Linked DNA regions of Lepisosteus oculatus. The protein of the gene in region 1 purifies or fractionates together with the protein of each later gene. This does not show direct contact. Links are inferred from orthologs where the notes say so. Each region holds a gene or a part of one and is shown on either strand. Other genes may lie near its edges.

Region 1 (7,614 bases):
CACTCACACCAGGGCCAATTTTCCCAGGCGCCAATTAGCCTACCAGTATTTTTTTGGACTGTGGGAGGAAACCAGAGCGAGCAAGGGGAGAACGTACAAACTCCACACAGATAGCACTCCTTGTCCAGAGTTTAACATAGGACCTCAGTGCTGCGAGGCTGCTATAATAACCACTGCGCCGCTGTGCCACCCAATATCAGTTCTAATCATTGATCTCGTTTCTTAGTCAGACGAGTACAGTATAGGGTGGAACACGTTCAGGTAGGCAGCTGCGTCAGCATGTGTAGACTGCAAAGGAACAAGTAAAGGTTAATTCAAAGCTGAAAAGAAAAGATACACAACATTTTGGCTTGGAGTCTTCTTCAGGTGTGGGGGAGAGAGGAAAACGGGCAGTTGATAAAGTATGGGAGAACAAAAGACAGGAGTGGAAAGGAAACAAGTCTGTCATTGAGAGAAGGCGTAAGGTGTGATTCTAGTTTCGGATGTCCTTCTCTGTGAGAATGCAGACAGAGAGATCAGTATGGCTGTTAAAGGTGAAATGTGAAACTATAGGTTTGGAGGGATCTTTGATCCTCACAGCCCTGATATGTTCCCTGAAATGGTCTCCCAGTCTCCTTCCTGTCTCGCCAATGTAGATGTCTGGGCATTTTCTGCAAGAGATGGAGTAAACAAGGTTGCAGGAAGAACAATATGTCATCTGTCCAGAGAGGCCTTGAATGGAAGTGATAGTGGATATATATTTGCAGCAGATTCTGTTGCGGGGGAAAAGTGTCTGGTGTGGATGGTTGCTGAGGGCAGTCAAGGGAGCTGTGAACAATAAGGTTGTACAGATTAGGCAGTCGACAGTATGAGATGATGGGGCGGTCAGGCAAAAGGGTACCAGAACAGTATAGGGTTTTTCTTGAGGTGTGTTACAGTTGATTAACCAAAACAGTCACTTAATAGAAGACTAAGATTACCTATAAAATCCATAGTAAAGTTTAATGTCACACTGAAAAAGTAAAATAAAACAAAGCATTTTGGCTGCCAAGCTTTCTTCAGGTGTCAAAACCTTAAGGTCATACTTGAAGAAGGCCTGAAGACTGAAGGTGTTTTTTCTTTCCTTTTACATTCCTCTGAGTAATGAACCTTTACTGGTTCCTTTGTGCCCTGCGATGGGCTGGTCTGTCCAGGGTGTATCCTGCCATGCACCTGTTGCCTGCTGGGATAGGCTATGGCTCCCCATGACCCTGAATGAGATGAAGCTGTTAGGAAATGGTTGGATGGATGGATAGATCCTTTGCAGGCAACACACAGTGAAGCTGCTCCTCATTTAAACCCTTAAATAGTCCATCTGTAAAACTGAGAGCTCTGGTGCAAAACCAAAAAACACTGGTCCTTCAAGGAACAGAGTAAACTACTCAGGAACATCTACACCAATCCTGATCTTGATGAACAACTGGGTGTCTGGGTATTTACTCCAGCCACGTTCTTAAGTGCGGGGAAATGATTTCAAATATTCTTTTTTTAGGAGGCTTCTAAATTTTCTTTCAACTCTTAAAAAGTTGTACGTGGTTTGTATTGGCTGTTAACACTGTGTCAGTTTCTGCTTTATAATTCCTGAATAGCACATGGAATTAAAGGACGTCAAGTCTGGATTTGTAAAACAATCTACTGGATTATAACAATACCATTGCATTATATGTTTAAAATAACATTTAAGTAGAATGCAGCCTGAGAACGTTTTAAAATTAGACTTTTGTCGATGTTTTAAATGGATATGCAGCTCGAAATACACTTTTATTGTTATTGAAACAACCCATTGATGTAAAAGTTACAGAACTTGTAGTTATGTAGAAAAAGTTAGAAAGTGTTCATCTGCATTTTATTGTGTTAATAACGTAGAAATGTTAGATATGCAATCTTAAACAGAAATCTTGAAGACGTGGTGGCATTTGTTTAAATCAAACTCGTTTTTTCTTAATTTCCGTGCCAATGTGGTGAAGCTCTTCTAATTTCGCGTACACGAATAGTGTGCGTTTCAAGACGCCGTTTATGTTAACTGAAACGTAAAATAATATCGGCGTCCTTGCCCTCTGTGCGTTTGTTTTAATTACTATTCATATAACAACTCTGTGAAAGATAGCAACATCCCATTGCAAACTCCTGACTGCTCAGGAGCGTCGCGTGACGCCGTGCGCCTTTAAGAGCCGGGTCACGTGGTCGGGGGGTGTCGGGTCAGAAAGTTTGACAGAGAAAAGTTCAGAGAGAGAGAGAAGGAGGATTTTTTTTGCAACTAGGCGGTCAAGGGTAGGCTGACTCACAGCACTTGGGAAGAGAAAAAAAACATTTCTCAACAAAACGGTTTGATTGCAGGAAGAGAAAAAAATTGAGCCCGTAGAAAAGTAATTTCGCAAAAAACTCACAGAGATAACGCAATGGAGGCGGTAGCTCAGGTAACTTAACTTGGAAAAAAAAACTACATTTGCGTTTTGATCACTAATCTCGCAGCGGCTGGTTTCCGCGCTGCGCTTGTCGTCCCATTTCGCGTTGTCACACCTCTCTCCTGCTTGTTCGCACTTCTAGAAAGTCATGACGGGATTCAGCCTGGACATCGGACCTTTAAAAGAGCCCCTGGGATTTATCCGAGTCCTGGAGTGGGTAAGCGCCTGTGCATGCTTTCGGCCTTTTTTTATTGAGGGAAGAAACGAAACACGGTGGAGCAGCTAGCGATTAGCCCGGTGCACTCTCCCTTTCGGTTCCGTGCAAGTTAATCAGTGTTAACTCATGCACTTGCACGGATCTGGGGTGGATGTTAGCGCTGCTTCGGCACCAGCTGCGATGAGACCGTGTTTTTCTGCTAGTCTGCTACCCGAAGCGTGAAGATTTATACAATAATGATTCCCCAAGGCAACACCCAAGTCCCAGCTTGGGAAACCTTCGCGAGGCGCTGGGACCCCGCTCCGCTTTTGAATTCGTTTTTAAGCACGTTTCTCCCGTGTTGATTTATTTTTCCTCATGTTTCTATGTAACGATGAGATGGAACAGGTTTACGTTTTGGTCTCTAGCTAGTTACTATGAAACGTGTGTCGCTCATGCTGTCGGGTAAGTGTATAGTTAAAGACGGGGTGGTTGCAAGTTAGTGACAGTAAAGATGTAAAGTACTTTATAATTAAGAAGTAAATCGTGGGGTCACACGCGGGCTTGTCTGCAAGGCCAAAGAGTCGCCCTCGATACCGAAAAAACGCACCTTGTCGCAAAGCTCATTTGTCATGACGGCGTGCTTGTAGGAAGATGACGATGCAGGGTCATCTGAAGTTGTTGGCCTGATAATAGCGACACAGTTTCCCGTGGGATTCGAGGGGTCTACCAGAAGCGTTGCGGTGCCAGTCTCGACCGGACCGGACAGGACCGGGTTATTCAGCTCCCAAACGGCTATGCCCTGTGGACGGCGTGACCTGGCGGAAACTGGCCCATTTATTTATTTATTTGTTACCAACAGGAAGACGAAACGCACTTGACCGTGACTTCACGCCACAGGTGCGAGCCTCTTTCTGTCACTTGAAAGAGAGCTTCTCTACTAGGACGGCGCTCGGTTTCTTGGAAGAGTTTAGGAGTCCGTCTTCCCTACCCCTCATACCCGCTACCCCTATTTCTCCTCGGTCAGGTGTTTAAAAATAAAACACGAGAATGAAGGAAGTTGGCCACTAAATCAGAAGCCGTTGGGTTTAACCGAAATGCTAAATATTGAGGGAGTAAACTGTTCCAGTTGACAGTGAAGTACTTCGCCTGGTCATAGGTCCTGACTGTTCGGAGGGAGGGAGGGCCAGAGCCCGGAGCAGCGGAACTGCTCTTCCAGGTTTTGCATGAGATTATCCGGGCTGGGTTGCGATTAGCTGCGTGGCTGCTGTGTGTTCACATTGTGCAGCCCAGGTGTGTTCACAGGGGTGCTGTATAAAGGGACTACACCAACATTTTCAGCTTCTAATAAAGCTTTGTACAAAAGGCAAGTGTCAAACCGTACAGGAGTTTGCAGGGGAAGAGTGTTTCTCCTCTGCAGCCGGAGAGCGGGCTGGTAATCCGGTCAGGGCGGCCTCCGTGTGTGCGGAAGGCGTGGCGCGGAGTGTGCGGCTCTCCCCTGCGCCGTCGCAGACTCGCCGCCTGGAGTCTGCGGGCTCCTGAGAAACACGCTCACGCAAATTCACGCACCAGGGTCGGTCTGCTTGTGCCACCGTGAAAAGATAAATTCATTCATTACGCCTTTTCGAAGGGATGGCCAAGAATATATATGTAAATGAATGTCTGTTGTTTTATACTGTACCGCTTGTTTTCAAGGCCAGGTTAAAAAAACGATACTACACTTGATCTTAGCTAAGCGGCTGAGAAAAGGCTTAAAAAAAAAGAGTAGTGCAGTCGGATTCGGCACACATGAGAGCAGGGCCTGCTGTGCTGGGAAGGGATGTGTATGCGCTGTTACCAGCTGAATCCTGTTCCAACCAAAGATCACACGCCAGGGTGCGAGGCCTGAGCAGTTTATGCAGATGTGCCTCGGAGTGCGCCGTTTGGCCTGAGGCCGCAGGTGGTAAAACCCGGGATGGACCGAGCCACTGCTCTGCAGTCGGAGGCCCGGCTCCAGTTCCTTTGCGTTTGGCTAACGGGGACACAGGCTGGCGGGTGACGGGGCTGGCCCCCCCGTCTGCGGCTGGTTCCGGGACCGGGGGGGGACTTGCCAGGCTGGCAGGCAGCTGGAGCTGGCGTGCTGGGCCGCCCGCTGGGCGCACACACACAGGGCCAGACAGGCCTGGCGGCTGCGAGCCGAGCATGTGGAGCTGGACGTCCAGGGTTTTATGACGCTGACGAGGCAGAAACGAACGCACATGTTCTGTGTTGGTGCTGCCTTAGCGGGAGGGGGGCAGCAGGTTTGTTTAAGTTTGAGTTTTTCTTGAGGTGTCTACATGTACTGCGTGTTTTTTTTTCCCAGGGAGCCTGTGGGAATACAAAGCCATTAATAGTGCTGAATCACAAAGGAATGTGCTGGCTGGGAGAGTTTATTTAAAGAGTTCGGGAGGGAGCACTTGGGAGGATCTGGGGATGGGGGATGAGAGGAAGAGAGGAGTCTTTTTTTTTTTTTAAAACAGGGACATGAAAGGCTTGAAGTGCTCCAGGTGTGCAAGTTGCAGCAGTGAAAACTCCAGGCCCCTCGGTCAGCCCATAAAACTCCAGCGGATCTGAGCAAGGACTTTGGCAGGAAGTCATATAGTCCGCTTCCAGAGGCTAATCTGTAACTTGATAGACCTTTGCTACAATGAATTCCCACTGCTTGCAGGAATGAGAGATTCGCACAGCATTTACTGTGTTCCAGCCATTCTGAGAAGCTTGAGCGTTCATGGTAGTCCTCTGCTGTGTCAGAAAAAGATACGCAGTTAATTGTCGTTGAGAATACAGTCACTGGAAATTTAAGACCAGGCATGTGCCAAAGTGGGGTTTTATCTGCACATATTGCTCCAGCCCCTAGAGTGTTGCTGAAACATATCTGGTGAGAGTGGTATTCAGACAGGCTGCATCTCCCTTGCTGCTTCTTCTCTTTCTGTTTCTAAGAAGAGAAGAAACAAGGGAACTAGGTGAACCCTTCTTACAACTTTCCCCCTCCACAGAGCTCTCGGTGGAGCTGTCGACAGGCCCCTCCCACGTGCCCGAGGCCCAGTCTGTGCTGAGTAGCCAGCGCTCGGTCTCCTGGCCCGGGACATGCAGTGTTTTTCAGAGCGAGCATGTGACTTCCCTGCCTCTGGGCAGGAAGCTGTGAAATGAGTGGGAAGGGGTCGGAGGGCACGGTCGTTCGGCAGCAGCACTGGGGCGCGAGTGAAAGCCGAGCCGCTTCCTCGTTTGCAGGTTTTCACGATCTTTGCCTTCGCCACGACGGGGGGCTACACCGGAACCACAGGCGTCACCGTCCTGTGCACATCTGGAAGACCGGGTCCCATCCAAAACATCACCACGAGCTTCGGCTATCCCTTCAGGTGGGTTCCTGAACTGCGCCTTGAACACCTCCCGTGCTGGTGTGGGGAATGACTGTGCTGGTTCTCTTCCTGGTGTTTGGATTGCGTTATCCATGCCCTCGGCTCAGTTGTTGGGTGTAAGTGTTCACAAACAGGCACTCCTTTTGCAGGTAGTTGGCAATGGTTGAAACCTTCAGTGGGTGATACTGTGTTGTTCGCCTCCTCTGCAATGCGATACTGCCCAGCTCCTGCCCACCTGACATCCAGATGTCATGCCAGTCATGTTATATTACTAGACAGTATCAAATACGTATCCTACTGTGGCACATTTTAAAATCTCCATTTACATTTTTTTTTTAGAACAATGAAAATCAATGTGACAGTATTTGTAACCTCTTTAGAACATCCATTTGAGTTATTGTTCTGTTTATCAAAGCATTCAGAGCTTGCCAGGACACAAGGGCACACATCCACAAAGGCAGTTTTATAGCAGCTGCTCTTATCTTATTCACAAACGGCAGAGTCCCAGGCCAGACTTGAACCCAGGACCTGGGGGCTGTGGAGCAGCAACGCTGACTGCTCTGTTACCAACCCATTTCATTCAGCGATTCCCAGTATCCAGGCAGAAAACTAGCAGTAAAACGGGCAGAATGAGCAGCGAGGTGCCTGACTGATTGCGCTGTTGCTGCTCCGCAGGCTGAGTCAAGTGGAGTACGAGGTCACCAACTGCAAGAACGGTACGGAGAAGCTGTACCTCCAGGGGGATTACTCCTCCTCCGCGGAGTTCTTCGTCTGTGTCGGCGTCTTCGGCTTCCTGTACTGTGTGGCCACCCTCGTCCTGTACCTGGGCTACCAGCACGTGTACCGCCAGACCAGCCGTGGGCCCATCGTGGTAAGTGAGCAGGCCCCGCCCCACGGGGGCTCCGCGCCTTGTCCCCAAAGCCCCCCATCCCGCTCGGCCCCCCAGCCAGTCCATCCACAACCCAGCCCTGCTCTCGCAGGGCCTGAAGTGCTCCAAAACCAGTAAAATGCCAGCAGCCATATCACCCTGCAACTCACAACTGGCAACCCACTAAGCTAAGCAGGTGTGAGCCTGGTCAGTACCTGGATGGGAGACCTCCTGGGAAAAACTATGGTTGCTGCTGGAAGAGGTGTTAGTGGGGCCAGCAGGGGGCGCTCACCCTGCGGCTCATGTGGGTCCTAATGCCCCAGTATAGTGACGGGGACACTATACTGTAAACCGGCGCCGTCCTTCGGATGAGACTTAAAACTGAGGTCCTGACTCTCTGTGGTCATTAAAAATCCCAGGGTGTTTCTCGAAAGGAGTAGGGGTGTACCCCGGCGTCCTGGCCAAATTTCCCATCGGCCTTTATCAATCATGGCCTCCTAACAATCCCCCTCTATAAATTGGCTTAATTACTCTGCTCTCCTCCCCACTGATCGCTGATGTGTGGTGAGCGTTCTGGCGCACTATGGCTGCCGTCGCATCATCCAGGTGGGGCTGCACATTGGTGGTGGTGGAGGGGTAAAGCGCTTTGAGTGGAGTGTCCAGAAAAGCGCTATATAAGTGTAAGCAATTATTATTATTAATTATTATTAAAAACATTGCACTTCTTATTCCCAGCTTCCTAGGTCTGGA
Region 2 (7,850 bases), on another chromosome or scaffold:
TCACTGTACTGTACACACTGTACTGTACACTACACTGCACACCTCACTGTACTGTACACTGTACTGCAATATACTACAGCAGCATAACACACTACACTGTACTACAGTATTCTACACTACACTGCACTACACTGTAGTATACTACACTACACTGCACTGTACTACACTGTACTGTACTGCAGTATAACACACTATACTGTGCAGTCGCACAGAGCACAGCAGTGGGCAGGGAACTCCACTGCGCTGTACCACACACTGAACTGCACCAGGACACACACACAGTCACACAGTCCGTACCAGCAGCAGGGCCTCCATCTCCGCGATCTTCTGGGGGAAGAAGGAGGCGACCAGATTCTCGGCCTGCGAGGAGAGACACGTCAGGGCAGCCCGTGAGCACGCTCCTGCAGGCAGATCCCCCACAGCAGCGCGCCACCCGACCGGCCGGGCGCGGAGGGGCCTGCTCGGACCCCAAACCGCTCACATGGGCTCCAGCTCCAGCTCCAGGGCGCCCCCAAGCCCTGGCTCTCCCTCCCCCAGGACACCCTTTCAGGAGTAACCTGACTGCACCGCAGCCTGGCTTCCCTTCCCAAACAGCTTGACCACACCACCAGAGAGTCTGACCACACCACCAGAGAGCCTGACCACACCACCAGAGAGCCTGACCACACCACCAGAGAGTCTGACCACACCACCAGAGAGCCTGATCACACCACCAGAGAGCCTAACCACACCACCAGAGAGCCTGATCACACCACCAGAGAGCCTGATCACACCACCAGAGAGCCTAACCACACCACCAGAGAGCCTAACCACACCACCAGAGAGCCTGACCACACCACCAGAGAGCCTAACCACACCACCAGAGAGCCTGATCACACCACCAGAGAGCCTGACCACACCACCAGAGAGCCTGACCACACCACTAGAGAGTCTGACCACACCACTGGAGAGCCTGACCACACTACCGGAGAGATAGACCACACCACCACACAATTTTTGTTCTGTCTCTTCGGAGGCCTTCTGGGGCGCCTTGCTCAGCTGTAGCACGTTTACACCCCAATTTCCAACTACTCTGCCCTCACCAGCGCCCACCCCAGGACTTCACACAACTAGGCAACGGAGCCATCCCCCAGTCTGGGTGCACCTCCCTCTGAGAGCGACAGTTCCCTGAACAAAACACTTCGCCAGCCTCTCCTGTCTGCTGGAGGGGTGCAGGAGTCCGGCTCGCTGGGGCCCACGCTGCCCCTCTCTGAACCGCAGGAGCTCGACCACACGACAGCCCCACGCTGCCCCTCTCTGAACCGCAGGAGCTCGACCACACGACAGCCCCACGCTGCCCCTCTCTGAACTGCAGGAGCTCGACCACACGACAGCCCCACGCTGCCCCTCTCTGAACTGCAGGAGCTTGACCACACGACAGCCCCACGCTGCCCCTCTCTGAACCGCAGGAGCTTGACCACACGACAGCCCCACGCTGCCCCTCTCTGAACCGCAGGAGCTCGACCACACGACAGCCCCACGCTGCCCCTCTCTGAACCGCAGGAGCTCGACCACACGACAGCCCCACGCTGCCCCTCTCTGAACTGCAGGAGCTTGACCACACGACAGCCCCACGCTGCCCCTCTCTGAACTGCAGGAGCTTGACCACACGACAGCCCCATGCTGCCCCTCTCTGAACCGCAGGGGCTCGACCACACGACAGCCCCACGCTGCCCCTCTCTGAACTGCAGGAGCTTGACCACACGACAGCCCCACGCTGCCCCTCTCTGAACCGCAGGAGCTCGACCACACGACAGCCCCACGCTGCCCCTCTCTGAACCGCAGGAGCTCGGCCACACGACAGCCCCACGCTGCCCCTCTCTGAACCGCAGGAGCTCGACCACACGACAGCCCCACGCTGCCCCTCTCTGAACTGCAGGAGCTTGACCACAGGACAGCCCCCGACACCTGGCGACAGCTAATGCACAAGTCTACAAGTGACACACAGTTAACACAACACAGAGACAACACACAACACACAATTAACACACAACTATAACACCCCACGAACACTGCACACAGCTAATGCACAAGTCCACGTGACCCACAGTTAACACAACACAGCAAAAATGCACACAGCACAGACGCGACACACAGCTGATACACAGCAGCCGAGCAGACAGCGGGGACTCCTGTGACCTGCCATGCGCTCTGAGTGGGCTCACCTCTTTGGACAGCTGTGCACAGAATCCATCGACCTGCAAAACACAGCGAGACACATCATCGTCCAACTCCTCACAGTTCACTCTCTCCCCTCTCCAGTCCCTCTCTCCTCTCCAATCCCTCTCTCCTCTCTCCTCTCCAATCCCTCTCCTCTCTCCTCAGTCTCTCCCCTCTCCAATCCCTCCCCTCTCTCCTCAGTCTCTCCCCTCTCTCCTCTCTAATCCCTCTCCAGAGGGTCTCCAGACCCCTCACAAACCCTCTCCCTCCTTCTCTCCACTCTCCCTCCTCCTCTCCTCTCCAGACCCCTCACAACCCCCCTCTCTCCTCCTCTCCACCCCTCTCTCCTCTCCAGACCCCTCACAACCCCTCTCTCCTCCTCTCCAGACCCCTCACAACCCCCCTCTCTCCTCCTCTCCACCCCTCTCTCCTCTCCAGACCCCTCACATCCCCTCTCTCATCTCTCTCTCCTCCTCCCCACCCCTCTCTCCTCTCCAGACCCCTCACAACCCCTCTCTCCTCTCCACCCCTCTCTCCTCTCCAGACCCCTCACAACCCCCTCCTCCTCTCTCCCAGTCTAGGAGTCAGTGTTTTGACAGGTGTAGCTCAGGAGGTGCAGACACAGAGAGTCGGATTACACTCGCACACTCCGAGATCTGTCTGTCTCTCTCTTTCCTAGACTACTGCCCCCTCATCTCTCAATAATAATAATAATAATAATAATAATAATAATAATAATAATAATAATAATAATAATAATAATAATAACAACAACAACAACAATAACCTGTTTCTTCGTCTCTGGCTTCATTTCCAGCGGATTCATCGCGGTGCGGTACTTGAGTAAGGTCTCGTCCGGGCTTTGCTGCTGGAAACACCGATTACTGTCACGACTATCGCTATTATCACGACAGCAAGTTCACCTGCGTTACAATTGGCTATCGTGCAATTTACCGTGCGATTATACCCCCTTCGAAGGTGAATGTTATCTGAAGATGTGCGCTGCTGCAGGCCTCGACAGACACGGTTAGTCAGCACTGTCGAAGTGAAACCGAAAGTTATGGAGAAACCCGAACATACGAACTAACAGAACAAAAAACTCAACTTCACTCATGGGGATTTCCTTGTAGTCTTCTAGCCCCGGCCGTCCCGGTTGACTGAAGCGTCGAAAGCGGCGCAAAGGAACTACAACTCCCATGCCTAGCTTCGTCCGTATCTTTAACTTTCTAAATCATGTGCATATTATACAGGTATTTATTTCTTCAGTAATAGTCTTTTGTGATCTTATGCCAACCCGCATTGATTTAGGAGCAATATTTATTTATAAGAGGCTGAATAATCACTTTTCGTGTTACGTGCGGGGGGAGAGTCTCTGAACTCGCTCCGGTACCCGAGAGCGTCTCGGCGGCTCGCTGCTGTCGTGACGTCACGGCGACCGAGGCACCCTGTGACGTCCCTGTCCCCACAAGCTCCGACGCTTATTGTACTGTTGAATAGAAAATTTGGAAAAAGAGCATTTATTTAAAGAAAATGTATAAGTCATTCATGGTAAATGTCACATTCATAAATCAAAATGGTCTAATAGTACTCCCCTTTTTAGTGCTTTTGAAGTGGAGCTGAAACACTTTTTAATTTCTATAATAAATTTGAGAAATAATGAAGCAAGGAAAACACATGATATATATAAAAATACAATTTGATCACATCATTTACTTCACTACCTCTGGCGGTTAAATGTTTTTTTTTTCTGTTTGTGTTTTTTTCTCTCGTACCTGTCTGTTTCGGATCCTATGGTTGTAGTTGTATTTGTAAATTCTTTATATGTTTAATAAAAAACAAATAAAAAAGGCTCCGATGCTACTCCCCGCTTCTAACGCTTGCACGCTGGAGATGAGCTATTGCTTAAGCCATACACTATAAAGACGCTGAGAACATCGTAAACTCGAGCTTAAGATCGATCGTTAATTGACGAGTGTTTCCCCAAATCCGTCGTTACTGAAGTAGCACGTTAAACCCTTCGCACTCGACGTGCTCCCCGACCCGCTCGTTCATCACTAAGGGCTTCTTAAACTGGCCTCCTCCTGCCCACCCTGAGCGCCAGAGATCCCAGACAGAGCACCGTCACTTCACGGCAGGGGCATCCTCTGGGAATACAGGACACTAAGAGTTTATATGAAGGAGTTTGATATTTTGCTGTACCATGTAAGAGGAAATTTGGAAAACGAACATTTATTTATACAGTAATGAATTTATTAGTCAAATGGGCCAATAATACTCCCTCCTTTAGTACCTTTGAGGTGGAGTTTAAACTGGATTTAAATTCCATAAAGAACGTGCAAAAATGCTAAAGCAAGGAAAACATTTGATATTTGTAAACATGTAGCTTGGTTACATAAATATTCACCTCATTCCCGCTGGCAGTTAATTGTGTTTTTGTTCTGTTTATGTTGTCTGTCTTTCATCTGTATTTCCCCTCTACCTGTTTGTACGGGAGCGGCGAGGGCGCATGCCCAGAGAACCCCAATCCGTTACAATACACTTCATTCAAAAATAAAAACGGCTAAGTCTTATACTTGACTAGATGATATGATTGCCGCGATGAAATGCAGTAATGCCTTATTTAAGTGAAATCATTGGGTCTCACATGTATTTATACTGTTGCGCCACGCAGGGCGCGTAAGCAGGCGCACGCCAGGGCGGACTGAGAACAGCGCCCGGGGGCGGGACTGCGGGGCTGTGTAGAGCCGGGCGGAGGCTGGGAGACACTCTCTTCCCTTCGTGTGTGTGTGTGAGAGAGTGTTAGAGTTCCTCTCTCTCCCCCCTCAGCCCCGGGCTCACTCTGGACCCAGCCCCTGTGTGTGTGTTTGTGTTTGTGTTTGTGTGTGTGTGTGAGAGAGTGTTAGAGTTCCTCTCTCTCCCCCCTCAGCCCCGGGCTCACTCTGGACCCAGCCCCTGTGTGTGTGTGTGCAGGGCTGTAACCCCTGTCCCTGTCCCTGTGTGTGTGTGTGTGTGTGTGTGTGTGTGAGAGTGTTAGAGTTCCTCTCTCTCCCCTCAGCCCCTGTGTGTGTGTGTGTTAGAGTGTGAGAGTGTTAGAGTTCCTCTCTTTCCCCCCTCAGCCCCGGGCTCACTCTGGACCCAGCCCCTGTGTGTGTGTGTGTGTGTGTGTGTGTGTGTGTGAGTGAGAGTGAGAGTGAGAGAGTGTTAGAGTTCCTCTCTCTCCCCCCTCAGCCCCGGGCTCACTCTGGACCCAGCCCCTGTGTGTGTGTTTGTGTTTGTGTTTGTGTGTGTGTGTGAGAGAGTGTTAGAGTTCCTCTCTCTCCCCCCTCAGCCCCGGGCTCACTCTGGACCCAGCCCCTGTGTGTGTGTGTGCAGGGCTGTAACCCCTGTCCCTGTGTGTGTGTGTGTGTGTGTGTGTGAGAGAGTGTTAGAGTTCCTCTCTCTCCCCCCTCAGCCCCGGGCTCACTCTGGACCCAGCCCCTGTGTGTGTGTGCAGGGCTGTAACCCCTGTCCCTGTCCCTGTGTGTGTGTGTGTGTGTGTGTGTGTGAGAGTGTTAGAGTTCCTCTCTCTCCCCTCAGCCCCTGTGTGTGTGTGTGTTAGAGTGTGAGAGTGTTAGAGTTCCTCTCTTTCCCCCCTCAGCCCCGGGCTCACTCTGGACCCAGCCCCTGTGTGTGTGTGTGTGTGTGTGTGTGTGAGTGAGAGTGAGAGTGAGAGAGTGTTAGAGTTCCTCTCTCTCCCCCCTCAGCCCCGGGCTCACTCTGGACCCAGCCCCTGTGTGTGTGTGTGCAGCGCTGTAACCCCTGTCCCTGTGTATGCACCTTTCCTCGTTTCTCGTTATTAAATGTGTTGTTCAACCCCATTCCTCGAGCCCCACGCCCGCTCCGTTCCCTACCGAAACCCGCGGTCGATGCCATATTTAAAAGTCCAATACCGTTTTATGTTCTGTCGTGATTGATGACGGTAAAGCTTAGACCTGCTTCTTTTCAAACTTGATTATTGGTCCTGTATTTGTCGAGTTGAGTGCCAAGCTTGGTTAGTTCATTGTTACAGATGTCGTGTTAATAAGACCGATTAAAATGGAGTTCCAATAAACCCAATAACTATTAATAACAGCAGTATTTTCTCATGAAACACTGATTCTTAACAGTGGCAGCGCGCTAAAAAATATTGCTTTAAATCGAAGACGCCGTGCAGGATGCATACACTCTCCACACAGTCAGTCTTGGTTTTCTTTTACGGCACGTCAGTCATTTATTTTCTTTTCTCTTAGAAACAATAAGTGTCCCATTTTGTGCCTATCGATACGCTTTCGCTTGAATGGCTGTTAAATTATGATGTCGTGTTTACTTCATATTCCTTTTCACAACTTAATTTCAACCCACTGAAGGACCAAAACCGACACCATATAATGAACGTATCGTCGATCGATTGTTTTATCAGCAATTTTGCTAAGCGACTTCAGGGGCGGGGTGAGCAAAGAAGTACTTTATACTCGCTCTAAAATGACCGATTAAGGGGGGGTTTGGGGAAACGCGCGAAAAAGTAGTACGTACATCGTAATGCTGCTCGTTAGTCTCTATGATTCAGCGTTTTCGGGGAAACTCACCCCAGATTTGTAATTATCTCCCCAGGACCAGGACTGGAACCCCTGACCTACAAGACTGGGGACTGGGGCTCCCCAAGACCAGGACTGGAACCCCTGACCTTGTGAGTGACCCTGTTTCGGACCCTAGCACCTGCGGCGGTGCCTGCGACGCCGTGTCTCACCTGCAGAGCGGCAGGGCGCGCGTCGTGCCGCGTGTCACGTCTTCACAAGCTGCAGCGCGCTCCGGGACCGAGCTGTAGTTTGCCGGGTTGTCCACCAGGTGGCAGAGGCGTCACCCGGCCACGTCGTTCCGGGACACCGAGCGACCGGACGTGGCTGAAGGGGAGTGATCTGGAGATAACACGTTGCCACTGATGAATTAGGTCAAGACTGCAGAATCAGATAATTCTCTTTCACAAAATAAAGAATTTCTGCTTCTGTTATTTGAATTTATTATTCAGATTTTGGCTTTGCGCAGTTAATCACCTGAAATGATCAACTAAAATATTCATGTTAAATGACCTCGCTTAACAGACTCTCCACTCTTTGGTACCAACACACCTTTTCCATGTCAGCTACTTCATGGAAGATTATCTACACTCTCTAGAGAATTCACTTCAGTCCCTTTAGTGAGCAGGATTCACTACATTCCCTCTAGTAAAGAGGATTCTCTACATCCCTCTAGTGAGAGAATTCACTACATTCCCTCTAGTGAGAGAATTCACTACAGTCCCACTAGTGAACAGGATTCTCTACAGTTCCTCTAGTAAAGAGGATTCACTACAGTCCCTCTAGTGAACAGGATTCTCTACAGTTCCTCTAGTAAAGAGGATTCTCTTCAGTTCCTCTAGTGAAGAAGATTCACTACAGTCTCTCTAGTGAACAGGATTCTCTTCAGTTCCTCTAGTGAAGAAGATTCACTACAGTCTCTCTAGTGAACAGGACTCACTACAGTTCCTCTAGTGAACAGGATTCACTACAGTTCCTCTAGTAAAGAGGATTCACTACAGTTCCTCTAGTAAAGAGGATTCACTGCAGTCCCTCTAGTGAACAGGATTCTCTACAGTT
Region 3 (8,071 bases), on another chromosome or scaffold:
ATCAGGCTTAAAGAAACACTTATGTTTAAGTGCTTATTAAATAGAAAAGAATTTAAATCTCCTAACCTGAATTGTTAAAATCATTTTAACTCAATCCACTTTAAGCTACATCCATCCATCTCATAACGGCTTAATCCAATTGAGGGTTGCGGGGGAGCCGGACTCTATCCCAGCAGGCAACGAGTGCAAGGCAGGGTACACCCTGGACATGACTCCAGTCTATTACAGGGCACACACAGAGACACACTCACCCCTAAGGCCAATTTCCCCAGAAGCCAATTACCCTACAAGCATGTTTGTGGACTGTAGGAGTAAACTGGAGCATCCAAAGGAAATGCATGCAAACAAGACAATTGAATCCAGAGCCCTAGTACTGAGGCAGCAATGCTAAACACTGCACCAGTTGAAAATGTACTGAAAATTACTACTAGCCGGGAATTGCCCCAACACACTCAGTTCACATTCACTACATCATCAGAGCAGGCTATAAAAACTGATAATTGTTTTTTTTGGACTTCCATGTGCCATACAGGAAGATTACAAACAGTGGAATTTCAGGCTCCAAAAGAGCCTTAACGGAGATGAGGGTATGTCTCAGCCAAATAGCTTCTTCACTCCAGGAAAAAGTGTCTAAGAGCCGCTATCAGTAAAGGCTTCATCAATCAAACCATAGTCAGAGAAGCCCATTTTGTTTGTCTCAGCTCTGGCCAGAGAAGCTTGTAAACCACAGAGTGATTACAGGCTCCTAGTCACTCTGCCTCACTGCAGTATGCGTCAGCTCAACAGGCCTGCAGCCCTGCACAAGCAGTGTTACACAGAGCTCGACGAGCCCAGGAAGACTCAGTCACTCCCATGTGTAAAAGCACGAGTGCAAACAGGCTTGTGACTAAGGCAGGGAAATTGGATACTATACCGTTTGCTGTTTTCTCATCAGCACTATGGAATGGAGATCGAACCGTCATTTACAGTGCATGTTTTTTTGCAGTTTTGTACAGTTTAATAGCTCAGCCTTTCGGAGCAACGATTGTTGTAGCTCCCATCCTGTGGCCCTACCAGCTGGGCTGCCGGTCAGAACGAGGAATTCTCTGGGGGATCCGGAGGGGGTCTCTGTCGGGCCACAAGCATGGAGGACTCTCCCTCAGGCCCTTCTTCTCTGCCTTCTCACTGGGCTTAGTCTTCTGTTTGGAGGCTGAAGGAAACAGCCCTGATTGCACCTTCTTCCTCAGCTCTTCAGTGTTCTTGAACACGCTGTCAAGACAGGCAGTACATCACAACCAACACCACATCAGCCCATCACCTGCTGACACAGCTCCTACGCTCCTTGCTGAAGAAGACTAAACATTTCTACAAATGTACTACAAAGGGACTAGAAACACTCACACCATCTTAACAATGAACACTTTCCTGGATTGGCAACTTGTTTTGTACTCACCACACTTTGCTGCTGAGACCAGATTTATCAGGACACTTTGTGCAATTCTCCAAAATAGATAAATGCACCAAAGACCAGCTGCATGTTAATATCAACATTCTTGCAACAGGCAATTCACAATCATAGAAAAACATATTTCTATTTGTAGCACAAATTAATAAAACCATGAAAAATACCATGCTGGAAAAATACCAAAAAGTTAATGTTTAAAGTCCTGAATAAAATTGTTATTGATATTGGATTTGCTACAATTTTGTCATTTAATGTGTCTTGAGTGCAGGGATAAAAACAACTTCTGCTTGATTCTTGCTGCGAAATGAAGTGATTTTGATTTCTTAAAACGAGTTGCCAATCCTTTCATAGCCCAACTCTGAGTCATTAGATGGCAGAGATAAGAGTGTCTGACAGGCAATAAAGAATCTCACTTAACACACAGAGTTCAGTCCTGCATGACTCTGCCCTTTTAGCACAACACGACAGCCTAGAGACGTTTGACCCACCTCTCGAATACCTGGAGACTGTCTGCATGCACATAATCACCAAGGCTCACTGTCAGATCAGACACACGTCCTGAAGCTGACTCCTGACACAACAAAGACAGAACAGAAAAAAAAAACCATAATACTCTCCGAAACAAAGCTTCTCAATCCTTTCCTTTCAATCAATTTCCTTTCACTTGGATTTTATTCCATTTGTCTCCACAATATAATGGAACCCTGGGATTAATTATTTTATTAATTAGAACTTCCCAAATTAAATAAGATAGAAAACTGTTTTCCAGTGGTCTACAAATAAGAACCCATTTCAGCAAAAACAACTAGAGCACTCATTTCTGTCAGCTTGAGATTCGTTATGGAATCAAGTCTCAGGTCAGCTCATACCTGCTTGCGTGAAATCCTGTAGCTGCACACATTACTCAGTGCAAGAGTACGGTAACGAGTTACAGACAAAAGCCTTCACTACTCCTCAAGAAGAAAAACACACAGAAGGATCAGCAAAGTTGAAGTAGCCGTGGTCAGTCAGCGAGTGAAGATACGCTGCAGTAACGCAGCGAGCCGCACGTACCAGGACGTTGAAGATGAGCGTGGTGTCCACGGTCACGGCCTTGACCAGCAGCTGCTCGCCGCTGTCGCCCGACTGGTACCTCAGTGTGTACAGCTCGCTGCTGCTGTTCCACCCCGCCGGCAGGAGCTCCGACTGCCGGTCGCTGCTACTCGGCTGCAACGGTCACACACCCATCACTACCCCACAAGTACGACAGGTATCAGACGGGCATGACGCACTTCGGAAGAGTGCCAGTTCTGTCTGCCAGACAACACCGCGCTATTACCAGTATTATATTTTCCACTCTTGTGTTTTTCTTGAATGGCGTCTACCGCAGAAGATGTGATCTGGAGAGCACATCAAATACCACCGCTTTTAAACATTTTCTAACCACATTTTGATACCCTCCCCACAATAGCAGCTGACAACAGTTACACCCCTAGACGCGTACAGCCTGCACTGTGCTCCATCCCTGAATGCGCATTGCTAATTCAGCCAGGTAAAAGTGAACAGGTACCTCCATACATACCTGGTCTCCGACGCCCAGGCATTTGTACCCGTTTTTCACTATCTCCCAGTGCACAAAACAAACCAGGGCATCCTGGGGACAGGCGATGCTGCTGACGACAGAATTATACAAGAGCTCCAAACCTGCCATCTTCAACGAACGTATGCACCGACACAACGCTGAACCGAAACACAAAAGCGAAACTGCCAGGCATCTGTTTTGCAGTCCATCGCGACTGTGTCCCACTGCGTTGAAACTCCGAGATGGAAACACTTCCTGTGTTCATTTTAGTTCCGCCCGGCAAATGTGGCATATTCAGTTTCTTTCAAAAACGCTTCCCGTGTGACTCGCAATATTTTTCCGAGGAAATTGCCAAACTTACCCGTAATAAATGAAATATAGCTAAAACAGACGTTATCCTGCTTGTACGTGCTATTTAAAATTTAATTGTTAATACATTCATTCTACCTGTGAACGCGCTATATTTTGTTTTCTCTTGTTCCTTGTTCAAAACATTTATTCTCTTTTTAAGTGATTTCAGATTAAATTTAAATTATATAAAAAATAATTTTCTCTCTTAATGACTCGTCATTTTTGCATGCAATACAGAGCAGAAACCACAGAGGGCAGTGTTCGCTCATGCAACGTTGACCTGCAGCGTTGAGCGTTGAAGTCGTGGTTCTGGAAAATGAGACCATATGTAATGCACGCTAAAGTGGTTTTATTTATATTTAAATATTAAGAAATACTGAATTTGTATAATTATAACGTATTGAACTTGGATATAATGAAGTCTCTATCAGTTTTGAAATTATTAAATTGTAGGATTTTTAATATGAATGCTTTTAAACCAATATTCATGACCACCATTAAAGCCGATGTCCTGCCTGAATTCCACCCTGTATCAGTGCGAACCAGCCCCACTTTTCACGCTTAAATCACCCGGAGAAACAGCTCCTCCCCCATCTCCTGACCTGCGGAGTTTTTGCCCGGGTGAGAACCGCACTTCCCCGGGTCCCGCCCCACCCGTGAATCGCTGTGGGGTCCTCCGGGATGAACAGTGAAACACGAACCAGAGGACGCAAGTGGGCATTATGTGAAAGCGCATTTAAACCCGAGAACCGGAGTCACTTCCTTACACGAACGCTTGTGGTGGTCTGGAACGAGCTATCCAGGCATGCTGTTGTTGTAGCTGATATTCCTTCATGAAAAAACATGGAATAGGATAACTACACCAGTTAGCTGCTGAGAAATAACAAATTAGATAAACAAGCTGAATGGTCTTCTTGCATTAGAAACGGTTCTAATGTTCTTCTCCTGCTATAGGATTTGTGGCGCCACATGGCTCATTGTCTCCCTCTGGTGGGTGGTTTTAGAAACGGTCAACAATGGAGTCTGCATGTCCGCGTGTGTCTCCTACCACCATCTACGGGCATGCAGGCTGGGCTGATTGGGGTCTATACATTTTTCAAAAATAATATTCTTTCCCCAATTTTAAAAAAACCTGGAGTATTTAAAATCCCTGATTTTTTAATATCTGGTAACATGGACTCTATAAATAATAAGGATGCTTTTTAGTGACTGGACATGTGATAGCTCAAGTAGGCAGCTGCATCAGCATGTGTAGGCTGCAAAGGAACAAGTAAAGGTTTATTATTAGGTCTTCTTTGGGACACACCCAAAGAAGGCTCTACAGCCGAAAGGTTGTGTTTCTTTTCTTCTCTTTACAGTATGGAATAAACCTTCACTTGTTCAGAAGTGATATGTGTATTCTTTGAAATAAATTAGCATTGACCCTTGCTTGAGGCCCTTTATTACACAGGCATGCTGTGACGGTGATTTAGTAAGACCAGAGTCTTGTATAACCAGTGGATACACTGGGGAGCTTGTAAGACACACAGGTTTTGTATTTCTAACCACATACTAATAAAGAAGACCCTGGGCATTCAGTATCATTAATGAAGCATTGAAGGTGCTGTTTATTATCACTATTTTTAGGACATCAGAGAACAACAGTGACACAGGGGCCCAGTGGAGTGCCAAAAAAGGGTTTAATTACATAAACAGGGATAATCAACACTATTAATGCAGGAGCTTTAGCAATGACATGAATGTCTGTGGGCTCTAGCAGTAACAGTGGTGCAAAGGTATCCACCACTGAAACAAGGTCAGTGCGCAGGGCTCCAGGAGCAGTGTCTCCTGCGGAGGGTGGGAGTGTGCATGTGTGCAAGAGGCCTGAGCTCCAGAGACCAGGCCATGACAACATGCACAATTCACGTACAACCCCCAAGCAGACAATAAGCATGTTACGTAAGTAACTGCAAAGTTACATTTCTCTGCAGTATAATCCTACGAAAGCTGAAAAAAAATCATTAAAGAATGTGGTTTCTAATTTCATCACAGGCTTTGCAAACTTTCTGAAATCTCATGGAATGATAATAGCAACATCTGTTTCCTCTTTCTGGGATATCTAAAACACATTTCACAGAAGTTCATTTACACAGCATATTCCCATCAACTTTGTCTTCTTTGTTTGCACAATTAATTAACAATATATGGTCTTACTAGATCACTTGCATGACTCTGCCAGCCCCCGTGTGCTTCTGGACATGAGGACAGGCAGGTCCTCCTTGACGTGTGGAAGGAGCTCTGTCTGGGAGACGGGTCCGGAGCTGAAGGAGGCCTGGCCTCCGGGATCCTGCCCCAGCGGAGCAGCCCTGGGGAGGGCGAGGTGACCTGGCACCAGCCCATCACGCCTTCCAGCCGTGTCAGAGCCTGGCTGCCGCCCAACTTCCTCTGCAACCGCAGCTGTGAAACATTGGCCATGTCCAGAAACCATGTGGATCCTCCACTGGCGTGCGGAGGACCTCCACATTTTGCTTTAGTCTGTAGGAGTCCTTTACCTCCTGCACACCTCTGACCACAGGAGCACGAGGCCAGGCAGCCTGGCACCAGGTTCACAGGTGCTGCGCGCATCATTGGAGCTGCAGCCCAGGACACACACAGTGCAGTACCATTAAAACTCTCCTGATGTTAAACATGTGTTCTGGCTAAACACAGTGATTCTGTGTTGTATATAATGGCACCAATGAGTGCCTGCTGAGTCACCTGATAGCGGCTTCATCGTGAGAATGGGAGACCCATCTAGCTCATTTGGTTGCTATTACCTCATTGCTCAGGTCATCCCATGATGAAAGCGAGGGTGTCAGCTTGTTCCAGACCCCTGAGACTCTTTGTGTAAAGTGCCTCCTGGTTTAGGTTCTAGAAGCACTTGCCTAAGTTGCCCCTGTGTGCTCTGCTTGGTGCTTCACTGTTGTCCAGGAGGATTTTGAATACTGAAATCTTTCACTGTGAGGATTTTGAATACTTAAATCTGGTCACTTTTTTTCTTTTTGAAATTAAAATATTTACTTCTTTTACCTTTTTGCTCCTTTGAGCCTGGGAACATACCTGCTCGATCTTCTCTGGCCTGATTTCAGAGTAGCATCATCGTTGTTGTAAAGTGGTGACCACAGTCGAGCCCAGTCTTCTACTGTACATGATGACTTACCAATTAAAGAGAGCCTTAAATCACACTGCAGGAGGGAGAGACAGTCCAGGACATGGTTTTAGCTTGCTTTTTAGTTAGAGTCGGGCTTAAAATAAACCAGGCACTTAAGGCAGGACAGAAACAGGTTGAGTTAATAGGTATGAAGTCAGCCTTTCTCATGCCCTTGTGCAGTTAAAGCTGCAAATTTTTTTCAGGCAGTGAGCAGCTGGCGGAGGATCCCCGGCTCCCCGAAACCTGACCTGCTGGGCCTTCTGCTCTTCTCAGGCAGTGTCCATTTTCACCTACTTCCTCTGTGCCTCTGGACACTGGAGCACGACGGGTGACAGCAGACGGCGGCCTGCCACAGTAAAATGAGCAGTCCTGAAACAGAAGTGAGGCGCAGGCGGCACAAAGCCAACCCCACTGACACCTCCACCCCTACACAGCACAGCCAGCGCTTCGCTCGCCAGCCGGAGAGCCGAGGGAAAAGAAATGCCAGGAGTCGGACTATGACCATGCCTGAACTGCTGTTCCAGAGCCCTCACGCGGAAGAGAAAAAGAAAGTGAAATAAAAGGTTTCCCCCCCGAACATTTTTGTCCCTGCGAACCCGGTAATGAAAACACATGTGCGAATCGTTAAGGGTTTAGAATGTAATGTAATATGTAAATAAAGTAATTCTATATTTAGGACGGCACTTTTTTTGGGGATTTTACTGATGTGAATCCAGCTGTTATCTAGTGGTTCAATAACAAACATTATGTCGGATCTTGAAACTATTTGTTTTTTGTAAACAGTACAGTAGCGCTAATCTTCACAAGGCCTTCTCTTCACTGACTTGAAAGAGTTGAGTCAGAGGCAGCCGAAGCCCTGGCCATATTGATATCATTAGAGTGGATCCACTCCTCTCAGGCTCTCGGGCCTGTGCCAGAGCAGCCTGCCTCTCTGGAGCCAGGACAGGGATGCTCTTGGCATTGCTTTCCCGGCCCTGGGTCTGCCTTTGTTTTTTTTCAGTTCTCTTCTCCCAGCGTATCTCTCCTCCGAGGGACCTCACAACCTTCAGAGAGTCTTCAGCTGAGTGTTATTGGGTGCTACTGTCTCTTGTGTTGCACCGGTGTCCATGGTTCTGTGTAAGGACCTAGCTATCTAATGATCTGACCCTGTTTCCACGGAAACAAGGAATGGGGGCTCCATTTCTGAGCTTTGGTTTATTTCCGCTGGGTTCAAGGGTCAGGAGCACTTCTCACAGTTTGTGGGTCAGAGCACAGCAACTGGCTTCACATTATTATTAAATATTAACAATAAATAAGGTTTATCCCAACCAAAATAAGTTTCTGGCCACCTAGCAAAAAAGGAAAAGGTGATGGTGTGTGGATGATAAAATCTAGAACCACAGAAAAGCTGTAGTGGAAGGTCTATGCCCTATTTTGTAACTGAAATTTACAAAAGCTGATTTCAGCTGATGAGGAGTAAGAACATCTATGTGATTGTATTTTTACAATTTTCCATTACTATGTCATCTCTTGCTTGATTATTAAACATTTACAGACATGTTTGGAA
Region 4 (8,293 bases), about 33 Mb from region 1:
AAAATGTTAAGTTTTAGAAGCAAAAGAGGCGCGAAGGAACATGTTGGTATGCAGGATGACGTTATCCCGGGTGAAGAGAATCTTTTACTCACCGTTACTAACTTGCTCAGACAAGGCAGGGCTGGCTTGTAGGTCTCCATGGTGACGGTATCAGGACTGACGACATCACTGTAGCACTGATACAGGACAGCTGGGATCTGATGAACCTGACAGTGGCTCAGAACTGAAAAAAATAATGCAGAGGGGATCATCGAGCACTTCACAGAAAACACTCAGCTGTAACAGGTGCTTGTCAAGGCTCTGGTCTGTCTGGCGTTGGCAATATCACTAACAGTCCCCTGCCTATTTTAGAACAGTCCTCACCTTTCCCAGATGTTCTTGAGGGAAAATAATACCACAGAAATAACTAAAAAAGTGAAAGACTAATTTATGATGAAGCTGTCGCAGAAATGATTATTTCTGAAGAAAACCGGAGGGTCTCGAATCGAGCAGGTGTCTGAGGATGAATGGTTGGAAAGCCAGGACACTGGCAGTACCTGCAGCAGGAAGGCAGGTGACGATGTTGGGCTGCTCCATCATGGGGCAGTGCACCCTGTCTTGATAGGCGCTGGACTTCAAGGCTCTCAGGAAGGGCACTGGACTGGCGGAGACGGGATCTGCCGTTGTGTACTCGGACACAGACGCGTCCGACAGCACCAGCACCTGCAGGCCTCTCGTCTGGATAAAGCCGAAGACCTGCGGACCACAGGGGTACAGAAAGAGTCTCGCAGCCCCCTCTTCACCCGCCTGCTAAGGCAGAGGTTTCACAACACCCCTGTGGAAGCCTGAGTAAGTGTTTTTCCACTAGCTCTGGCATGCGTTCCTGAACCACGCGCGAGTAAACACTTTTAAATGGCTTTATCTGCCTTCTGTCATCAGAGACTGAGCCTGAATAACCTGCCTTCAGACAAGACCGTTTCAAATCCAGCTCTCAGTCAGCAGAGGGTCTATGACTACCATACGTTAGGTCTGTGAAACTCAACTGAACTAAATGTCTGATTGGCTAGACTGGCTACACATGGCTTAAGACTCACTGTCATCTCGGCTCGGAAGCAGGCTTAGAACAAACTCGCGTCGATGTCTAAAATAAATAAAAAAACGTCATTATCTTACCTTTTCAGTCCACTGGAATAACTGGTCTTCAGCTACAAAGCACGTGCACAGACATATTAGAACCTTATAACACAAAAGAGAGGAATGCAGAAACGTAAGTGAATGTTACCTGACCTACAAAAAACCCTGTCTTCTTAACTTTTTTAGTTAGCTGTAATAAAACACAGTACATTTTCACCCATCTACACCACACCATGTAGACGCCTGACAGTGCACTTCGACTGCACACCCTGACGCTATTTCCAGGGCCTTCCTCAAAGCTCGGCACACAGCTCCGAAGTCACACTATTCCTGCCAGCCCTCGGGATCCGTCGGAAGGGGGACACTCACCGAGGAGCAGCCAGCCGACCTGTAGAACCTACAGGAGGGCTCTCCCGCCGGCCGGCTGGAGCCCCTGCTCCTCTCGTTCCACAGGCTGGCCGACCCCACTGCCTCCCAGCTCCCAGAGCTCAGGACAAAGGCCGAGAGAAACCCTGCAGGAGAGAAGAGACCGCGTGAGCCGAGCCAAGCCGCCCAGCCTGCTGCTTTCCCAATCCGCCCCAACCCCCCTCCGCTTGTCCGTGCTTTGGCACAAACCACTCCTGCATCGCGACACCGATCCCGCTCACGATGAATCAAAGAGCCGTCTGCACTCACGAGCTACGGTGGCGGACAGTCTGAGACGACACTGCAGCGTACAAAGTTAGTCTCATACCCTTAGCTTCCAGCGTCCAGACCAATGCAAAATCTTCAACAAAGTTGAGTCTAACAGGGTGGATTGAAAGTAAATGATAATATCAACAACTGCAGACAACAGCTAGTGGGAAAACTGCCTAATATAACGCTAGAGCAAGACATTTCGTTTTTGGTATTGCGTCAGGAGTCACAGAAGCTATTCATATTCATCATGTAGGCCCGTATACTGGAACCTTGATTTAAACTATTTATTTCTGCTTTTCAGCTAAATGTGCCCATCAGAAAAACCCACCAGAAATAGGTGCATTAACTGGTTTAAGCAAGAAAGAGCTGTTTTGCCCTCTGCTTACCTGCTGCATTGTGTCCCACTCCTATGATAAAGTCACTGCACTGAAAGGGTTTGTCTGTTGACTTTGTGATCTCTGAGCTCCAGTGAACATGGACTTCTCTGCCAAAGCAAAAGACAACAGAAACTGTTGGTTACTGCAGCCAATTTAAACAGGAAAGTTGTTCATATTATTCCCTCTCGGGCTGTAGGTCTGCCTTGTGCCCTGTGCTCATGGGATAAGCTCTGGGTTGCTACTACCTTTACCAAGAGTCTCTCTGATGATGGACAGATGACCTTTTGAGTTCTGACATGCCTTTGAACATACAGTAGCTTTGACGGATTTCATCGTCCTGTTCTTAACGCGTTTTTATGCAAGTCGGTTTGGAAAAGGCTGTAAACTCAATATCGATCACTTAAATGTAAGTTAATTTTTATTCTATGCGCCCGGGACCTCTGTTCCTCGACACGCAAAATCCAGCAGGTATTGTGGTTTCACTTAAATCACGGGTGGGTAAGAACCTGGAACAACCGAGGTGCAATTTATAGTTCCATTAAATCAGCTACGTTTCATGGTCCTCAGACCAGCCATTAAGAGATATCTGAGGAGTGTGGTAGAAACGACCAGAAAGAACTGAAAGCGAAAGTTAAGAGACCTCACATGTGAGATATATGAATAAAACAGCACAAAAACAACACGGACAAGCACCGTACTCTGCCAAAGATGCTCCCCACAAAACACCTAACGTACATTGAAAAAACATCCATATTAACGTTATTGTAAACCTCTGTCCATATCGTGTCCCTATGTTAGAATTATCATACCAGCGGTTTACAGAATAGCACAGTTTGTGTAAAGCTGTACCAACAATGTAAAATCGTAAAAACACCATGCAGAAGTACGCGTTTTCTCTTTGAAAGGGGGTGTCCTTTATTTCATTTTTTTTTTCCTACGTAGGTATCATCTACCTCTTGTTTTCTATTTCTCTCCGGATTTGCACATCCTCTTCGCTTTCATCTTCTAATTCATCTTCATCCTCCTCCACAGCTCTGGAGTACACAGACAAGACTTCCCCGAAAAAGGTGGCCATCAGGAGGTTTTCTGTGTCAACACAGCAATGCGCGTTTTTCCCACAAAGTCACCGCTTGTTCTAACTTCCCTGCTCAACTCCGAAGGCGGATCTGAGCAAGTAGGCCGCTGGGCTGTGGCCAATACCACACCAGGAACAGCAGAGGGCGCTGTCCGAATGGCTGTGGGTAAGTCACAAATTATACCATAGAAACAAATCATGATAAAACCGATGAGACGTGTTCTCTCATCTCCTCTAGTGGTTCTCTAGTGCGACATAGCACTGAACCATTAACGATGTTTTAAAATATTAATATTAAATAATATTTAAATAATTCAAATAGTAAGATTCAAAAATGAACAATTAAATAAAATCCTGCCAGTTCTCTGATGCAATGGTGTTAATGTTAGATATATTACAGATAAACTGATGCTTTATAACATGAAAAAATTCAAGTATTTTATGTCTGACTGTTTCTGCCCTGCTTTTCTGGTTTCTCTTTGAATCCTGTTGTTTTTCAGCGGTGGCTAATTACAGAAAAATGTTTTTTTTCTTTCCGTTTACATAGCGTGTTACTGCCTGATAACTTCAGATTCCGCATATTTGTAAGTAAATCCTGTTTTCATATGTCGTGTGGAGTTGTGCCCAGTGAAAGGCAAATCACCACATCACTGTGAAACTTGTCACTTGTCACCTGACTCCTAAAGTTACCACCTGATTGCTAATAATACATACAATATTTTCCTGTAAAAAAAACACAGATAACACGAATACTCGAGTACGTGTAGACGACAGACTTGTGCGTTTGCAAGCTCTGCACACACAAGCCCAAAAGTTGTTTTCTGCAGAAGATCAGTGGAGATAGTAACCTACTATTCCTGAATGACTAAGGCGCTTTCCTACAAATGAATTGGCATCAAAGCAGTCGCAACCAACTGTATTCCAACTGTATACATCCTGGAAAAACGAATTCTTCTGGGATACCATTTGTTGACAGAAAGATACGATAACGCCATTACAGAGCAAACAATTTCCCCAACTAATACTTCGCTGGAAGACCAACCCTTCTCATTAGTCGTACAAGCGATATATATCTCTTGTTTTGCTGTTAGTCAAAATGTTTTAACAGAAATTTCATCTGATTTTTATTGATTGATTCTTAACAAAATTGTCTACTTGTATGTGACCTGTTTTATCGGTGCATTTTTCTGTGAGAGACTTTTACACTTAAGGTAGTAGCCTTTATAGTTTGACTGAACAGCATATTTATATACATTTCCTTTCTTTAAGGCTTCGTTTTTGGTCATTTTGGTTTTGGTTTCGACAGCAGCCAGAAGACCTAACTTTCACATCTCTCGTCAATTACGGCTACTGCCCAGCAGAGGGTAGCGCGTCGTCTTGTTGGGCTGGCTCGGTGTTCACCGCCGTGAAATAAGAAAAGATAACACCGAATTGTGTTTTTAATCACTCGGGCGCTTGCCTATTGCACAAACCACGATGCACAGATACAAGCTGTCTGCTGTAAAAGTCTAGTTTTACAGTGCTGTGAACCACGTACGAATGTTGCATTATTTGCAGCGCAGGGACACATTTGCAACAAGAGTGGTAAGCATGTAATCGGACATGTTGGAAGTCTGAGTTCCTCGAGCAGGCTGTTTTATTTTTTGAGACTATAGGGAACAGAATACGTCAATTAATACAACACATGCACACGTCACCGATTAAGGAGTGTGGTTCAACGACTAGTCGCGTAGCGGCTCGTTGGTCTAGGGGTATGATTCTCGCTTCGGGTGCGAGAGGTCCCGGGTTCAAATCCCGGACGAGCCCGTGTCTATTTTGAAACACTTTGTCATCTGACTTTTTTTGTTTTAAACATTCCTATATTTGGGCATTATTTCTTTCATTTCGTGTTTTAAGCATTTTGCGATTTTATTATAAGCAATTGGTTTATGTGTACCAACATTTAAACGATTACAGGTATAGCAAAAGGATACTACAAGTGTTCGACTGACCTCGAACTGTTTTGGTTGAAACCAAATTTTACATTCACCAGCTTTCCTGAAAAAGGAAACAAAATAACCGGGCTCGTCCGGGATTTGAACCCGGGACCTCTCGCACCCTAAGCGAGAATCATACCCCTAGACCAACGAGCCGCTTGCGTGAAGTCCCTCACCCAGTGCTTGATCTCAATTTCCACGTTGACACGTTTTTTTTTTTCTTGTATTCGTGGTCTGTTTTAAACATAACCTTTTTTTTTTCAGATTTTGCCTTGGACGCGGTTCTTGCGTAACTCTTGAACGAAGTACCACTCAAAACAACAAAAAACGCCCGGACTGGTGTGCAGGAGTGCACTAGAGTTTGTTTCTCGACGCGGTTTCTTGTCGTTAAATCGAAAAAAAAACCAGTCCCACCCAACAGAGACCCACAGGAGTAAAATTTATATTTTAACTTTTTATTTCGACAGCAAAATAAAATACAATACAAGCAAGAGTACATATAACATAACATAACAATATCATCGTCAGGAGAACATATTACAGTACCTATACACATTATGAATAAACGTTTAAACAGAATAAAGATAAGATCCATGCTCATGTTTTTACATTTCGAAAAAGTCTGCAAGTACGCCTTTACATCTATTTACAAATGTTCATAGGACAACATAGGAGTCTTCCCAGACCCTTTCACTTGACATAAATAATAACGTGCAGGAATAATAATTAAGTCAATTACAAAGGATATATTCGTGTTATTTCCAATTCAATTGAAGCTTAACATGATGTCCATTTCTTAAAAAAAAATCAATATTAGCTTCTTCTTTTAACATACGTTTTCAATTCAGTCCCGAAGGTTTTTACAATAGGACACAACCAAAATAAACGTTGAATGGTATCAAAAGGCACAGTTATCATCTAGATTAATTTTAAATCTCTGCACAAGGGTCTTTCCGGCTTCAAAGTCCTCATGCTCACCTATAAGGCTCTGTATGACCTGTCTGATACTATCATCCTACTCCCCACCTCACAACCCTCACTCAACCCAGTCTTCTGATTCTGGTCTCCTATCTGTCCCCCCAAAACCCATCTACACTCGAGGGGGTGACAGGACCTTCCCCTGCTGCGAATCTGGTGTGTTTTTTATGGTTATCATTCTGTCAAGCGCTTGGAGAAGCCACCTTCAAGGGCGCCATGCGAAATAAAGTTGATTCTAATAATTACTGTACGTAAATACTATTGACTCTGCACAGCAGTACCGCCGCTTGAGCCGCGGCAGCAGTGGGGCTCCGGCGGAGGGCTGCAGGGCCTGTCTGATTGGCAGGCCGGAGCGCCTATCGGGCTCCCCCAGTCGGTCACTCCCCAATCCCGATCCCACTCCTATCCATCCGGGATCCCAATCAGTGCCGGGCACTGTCCGGGATCTCGGAGGAGGAGGAGGAGGAGGAGGACACGGGGGTGGGCCTTCCTGTTGCCATGCAGGAAGAGCGAGAGAGAGACGGGGAGAGAGGAGCGACTGTTGTTGTGAAAGGGGGGGAGACACACACACACAAAAAAAAAGGGGACGGGGCGCAGCGTTTTGGACTCGCGAATCCCTCCCGTCTTGGCCATGGAGAGCAGGGGCTCGGACCCGCGCCGTGCTTTCGCCTGGATCCTCGGCTCGCATCTTCTCTTGCTCGGTCAGTATCGGCGCAGGTAGAGTATGGCGGGGAGGGAGGCAGGCAGATGAGAGAGCAGGAGGGAAGAATGCATCTTAACAAAAAAAAAAATTCACGGACGAAGAGGTGGTGATGGGGAGGAGGATGAGGGTAAATGTCTGTTTTAGCGGTGGGCCTCCGGCGCCTGGTAGCTTCGATTTCTTTATCGCTTTTTAAACGCGTTTTTTTTTTTCCGCTCCCAAGGCTCACATTTTTTGCCGGATGAAATGCTTCCGTTTAGTCACGGACTCTCCGCTGGCTGGTTTCAGCCGCCGGAGCCGATGTGTTGTTGGCTGCTGCTGCACAGGTGAGGCAGGTACAGCCGCTGCCCTCCCCCCCCCCCGGCTGAACGGGCAGGTCCCCCGGCATTTTCACTTCTTGGAAAACGAAAGATTCACCTCGATCAAAACCCGAGCTTTGCCGTTTACTGTGGGTGTGCGTACATGATTAGAGGTTACCCCCACCGCTCAGTAGCAACACAACAGGCAGTGTTGGACGGTGCAAACGGTATTTTAAACGTTTGAGACGTGTCTTTGCTAACGAAAATGAAAAGACATACTCTTTTATGGGCGAGAGCCTTGCAATATGGGTGACTCATATGGTACTGGCCTGAAAGGAATCAGGTCTGTGCTTCCGATATATATCTCTACATCTGAACTGGTGCTGCGTCAGTTTCTCGGCGCAAGAAGAGTCCCTTCTTTCCTTTTACTACGGTTTCCATTAAACTTGTTACGTGAATTGAGCCCGCACACATGGATCGACTTTGTAAGGAAAGCTATGATTTTACTTTAAATGGACACAATAGCTGTAGTTCTCTAAGCCAGCTACCCACCCTTTTCTTCTGTAATTATTATTTCGCGGATTCTCAGAAGAAACCCGCCCGTCTCTAGCATCAGTAAATGCTACAGCTTATTTTTAGAATGGTGTTGCCTGCTGTTGGTCTACTGAGGCTTTATAAGCCCGTAGGTCACATGACATCCTGTGACAAGGTGTCTGTAAACCTTACACCCGGCCCAGAGATGAAAGTAGCCTTTATCCGACTACCCAAAAGCTAGCATCTTTTCATCAAAGCTAACTTTGATCAGCGCAGAGCTACAGTCTGCTGGGAAGAATACAGTGTATTTGTCAGGGAAGAGCACGAGCTTCTCTGATCATTTCTGCACGTCTTCTGCAGTTTCCCCTCACAGGATCAATAAAGTATCAATAACAGTGGTGCTGTGACTCATACACCCCTTTCCTGTGCCGATTCTAGAAGGTTAAGTTTCGCAAAACGTTCACTTGGATCGGCTAAACTAAAGATACAGGGGAAGGTCAGCATCTTATGTTCTTTTTCGGTCATGTATAGGTTTACATTAAGAAAAGGGGGTTTTCTTGAAG

The links.
Region 2: the proteins of psma5 (region 1) and psme1 purify together in Homo sapiens (co-immunoprecipitation; 5 studies listed by BioGRID and IntAct, with this or other methods). This does not show direct contact. The link is inferred for Lepisosteus oculatus from reciprocal best matches to the Homo sapiens genes PSMA5 and PSME1.
Region 3: the proteins of psma5 (region 1) and psmf1 purify together in Homo sapiens (co-immunoprecipitation; 3 studies listed by BioGRID and IntAct, with this or other methods). This does not show direct contact. The link is inferred for Lepisosteus oculatus from reciprocal best matches to the Homo sapiens genes PSMA5 and PSMF1.
Region 4: the proteins of psma5 (region 1) and psmg1 purify together in Homo sapiens (co-immunoprecipitation; 4 studies listed by BioGRID and IntAct, with this or other methods). This does not show direct contact. The link is inferred for Lepisosteus oculatus from reciprocal best matches to the Homo sapiens genes PSMA5 and PSMG1.

Annotation. Positions count from the first base shown.
Region 1 is NC_090700.1:39,863,781-39,871,394, forward strand, and holds the start of psma5 (proteasome subunit alpha type-5), read right to left. Parts: upstream 3,262-7,614; 5' UTR 3,247-3,261; coding exon 3,230-3,246; intron 2,641-3,229; coding exon of another isoform or gene 2,566-2,640; intron 2,436-2,565; coding exon of another isoform or gene 2,418-2,435; exon of another isoform or gene 2,212-2,417; intron 1-2,211. Other genes in the region: sypl2a (synaptophysin-like protein 2a), read left to right, coding at 2,418-2,435, 2,566-2,640, 5,869-5,996, 6,672-6,867. UniProt on the Homo sapiens protein: Component of the 20S core proteasome complex involved in the proteolytic degradation of most intracellular proteins. This complex plays numerous essential roles within the cell by associating with different regulatory particles.
Region 2 is NC_090699.1:14,406,565-14,414,414, forward strand, and holds the start of psme1 (proteasome activator complex subunit 1), read right to left. Parts: upstream 3,282-7,850; 5' UTR 3,154-3,281; exon of another isoform or gene 3,065-3,153; 5' UTR 3,026-3,064; coding exon 2,987-3,025; intron 2,238-2,986; coding exon 2,205-2,237; intron 361-2,204; coding exon 298-360; intron 1-297. UniProt on the Homo sapiens protein: Implicated in immunoproteasome assembly and required for efficient antigen processing. The PA28 activator complex enhances the generation of class I binding peptides by altering the cleavage pattern of the proteasome.
Region 3 is NC_090711.1:642,533-650,603, reverse strand, and holds the start of psmf1 (proteasome inhibitor PI31 subunit), read right to left. Parts: upstream 3,244-8,071; 5' UTR 3,135-3,243; coding exon 3,006-3,134; intron 2,651-3,005; coding exon 2,498-2,650; intron 2,016-2,497; coding exon 1,933-2,015; intron 1,249-1,932; coding exon 1,054-1,248; intron 1-1,053. UniProt on the Homo sapiens protein: Plays an important role in control of proteasome function. Inhibits the hydrolysis of protein and peptide substrates by the 20S proteasome. Also inhibits the activation of the proteasome by the proteasome regulatory proteins PA700 and PA28.
Region 4 is NC_090700.1:6,524,727-6,533,019, reverse strand, and holds the start of psmg1 (proteasome assembly chaperone 1), read right to left. Parts: upstream 3,346-8,293; 5' UTR 3,244-3,345; coding exon 3,122-3,243; intron 2,276-3,121; coding exon 2,178-2,275; intron 1,626-2,177; coding exon 1,483-1,625; intron 1,216-1,482; coding exon 1,153-1,215; intron 736-1,152; coding exon 537-735; intron 224-536; coding exon 93-223; intron 1-92. Other genes in the region: mpzl1l (myelin protein zero-like 1 like), read left to right, coding at 6,829-6,898. UniProt on the Homo sapiens protein: Chaperone protein which promotes assembly of the 20S proteasome as part of a heterodimer with PSMG2.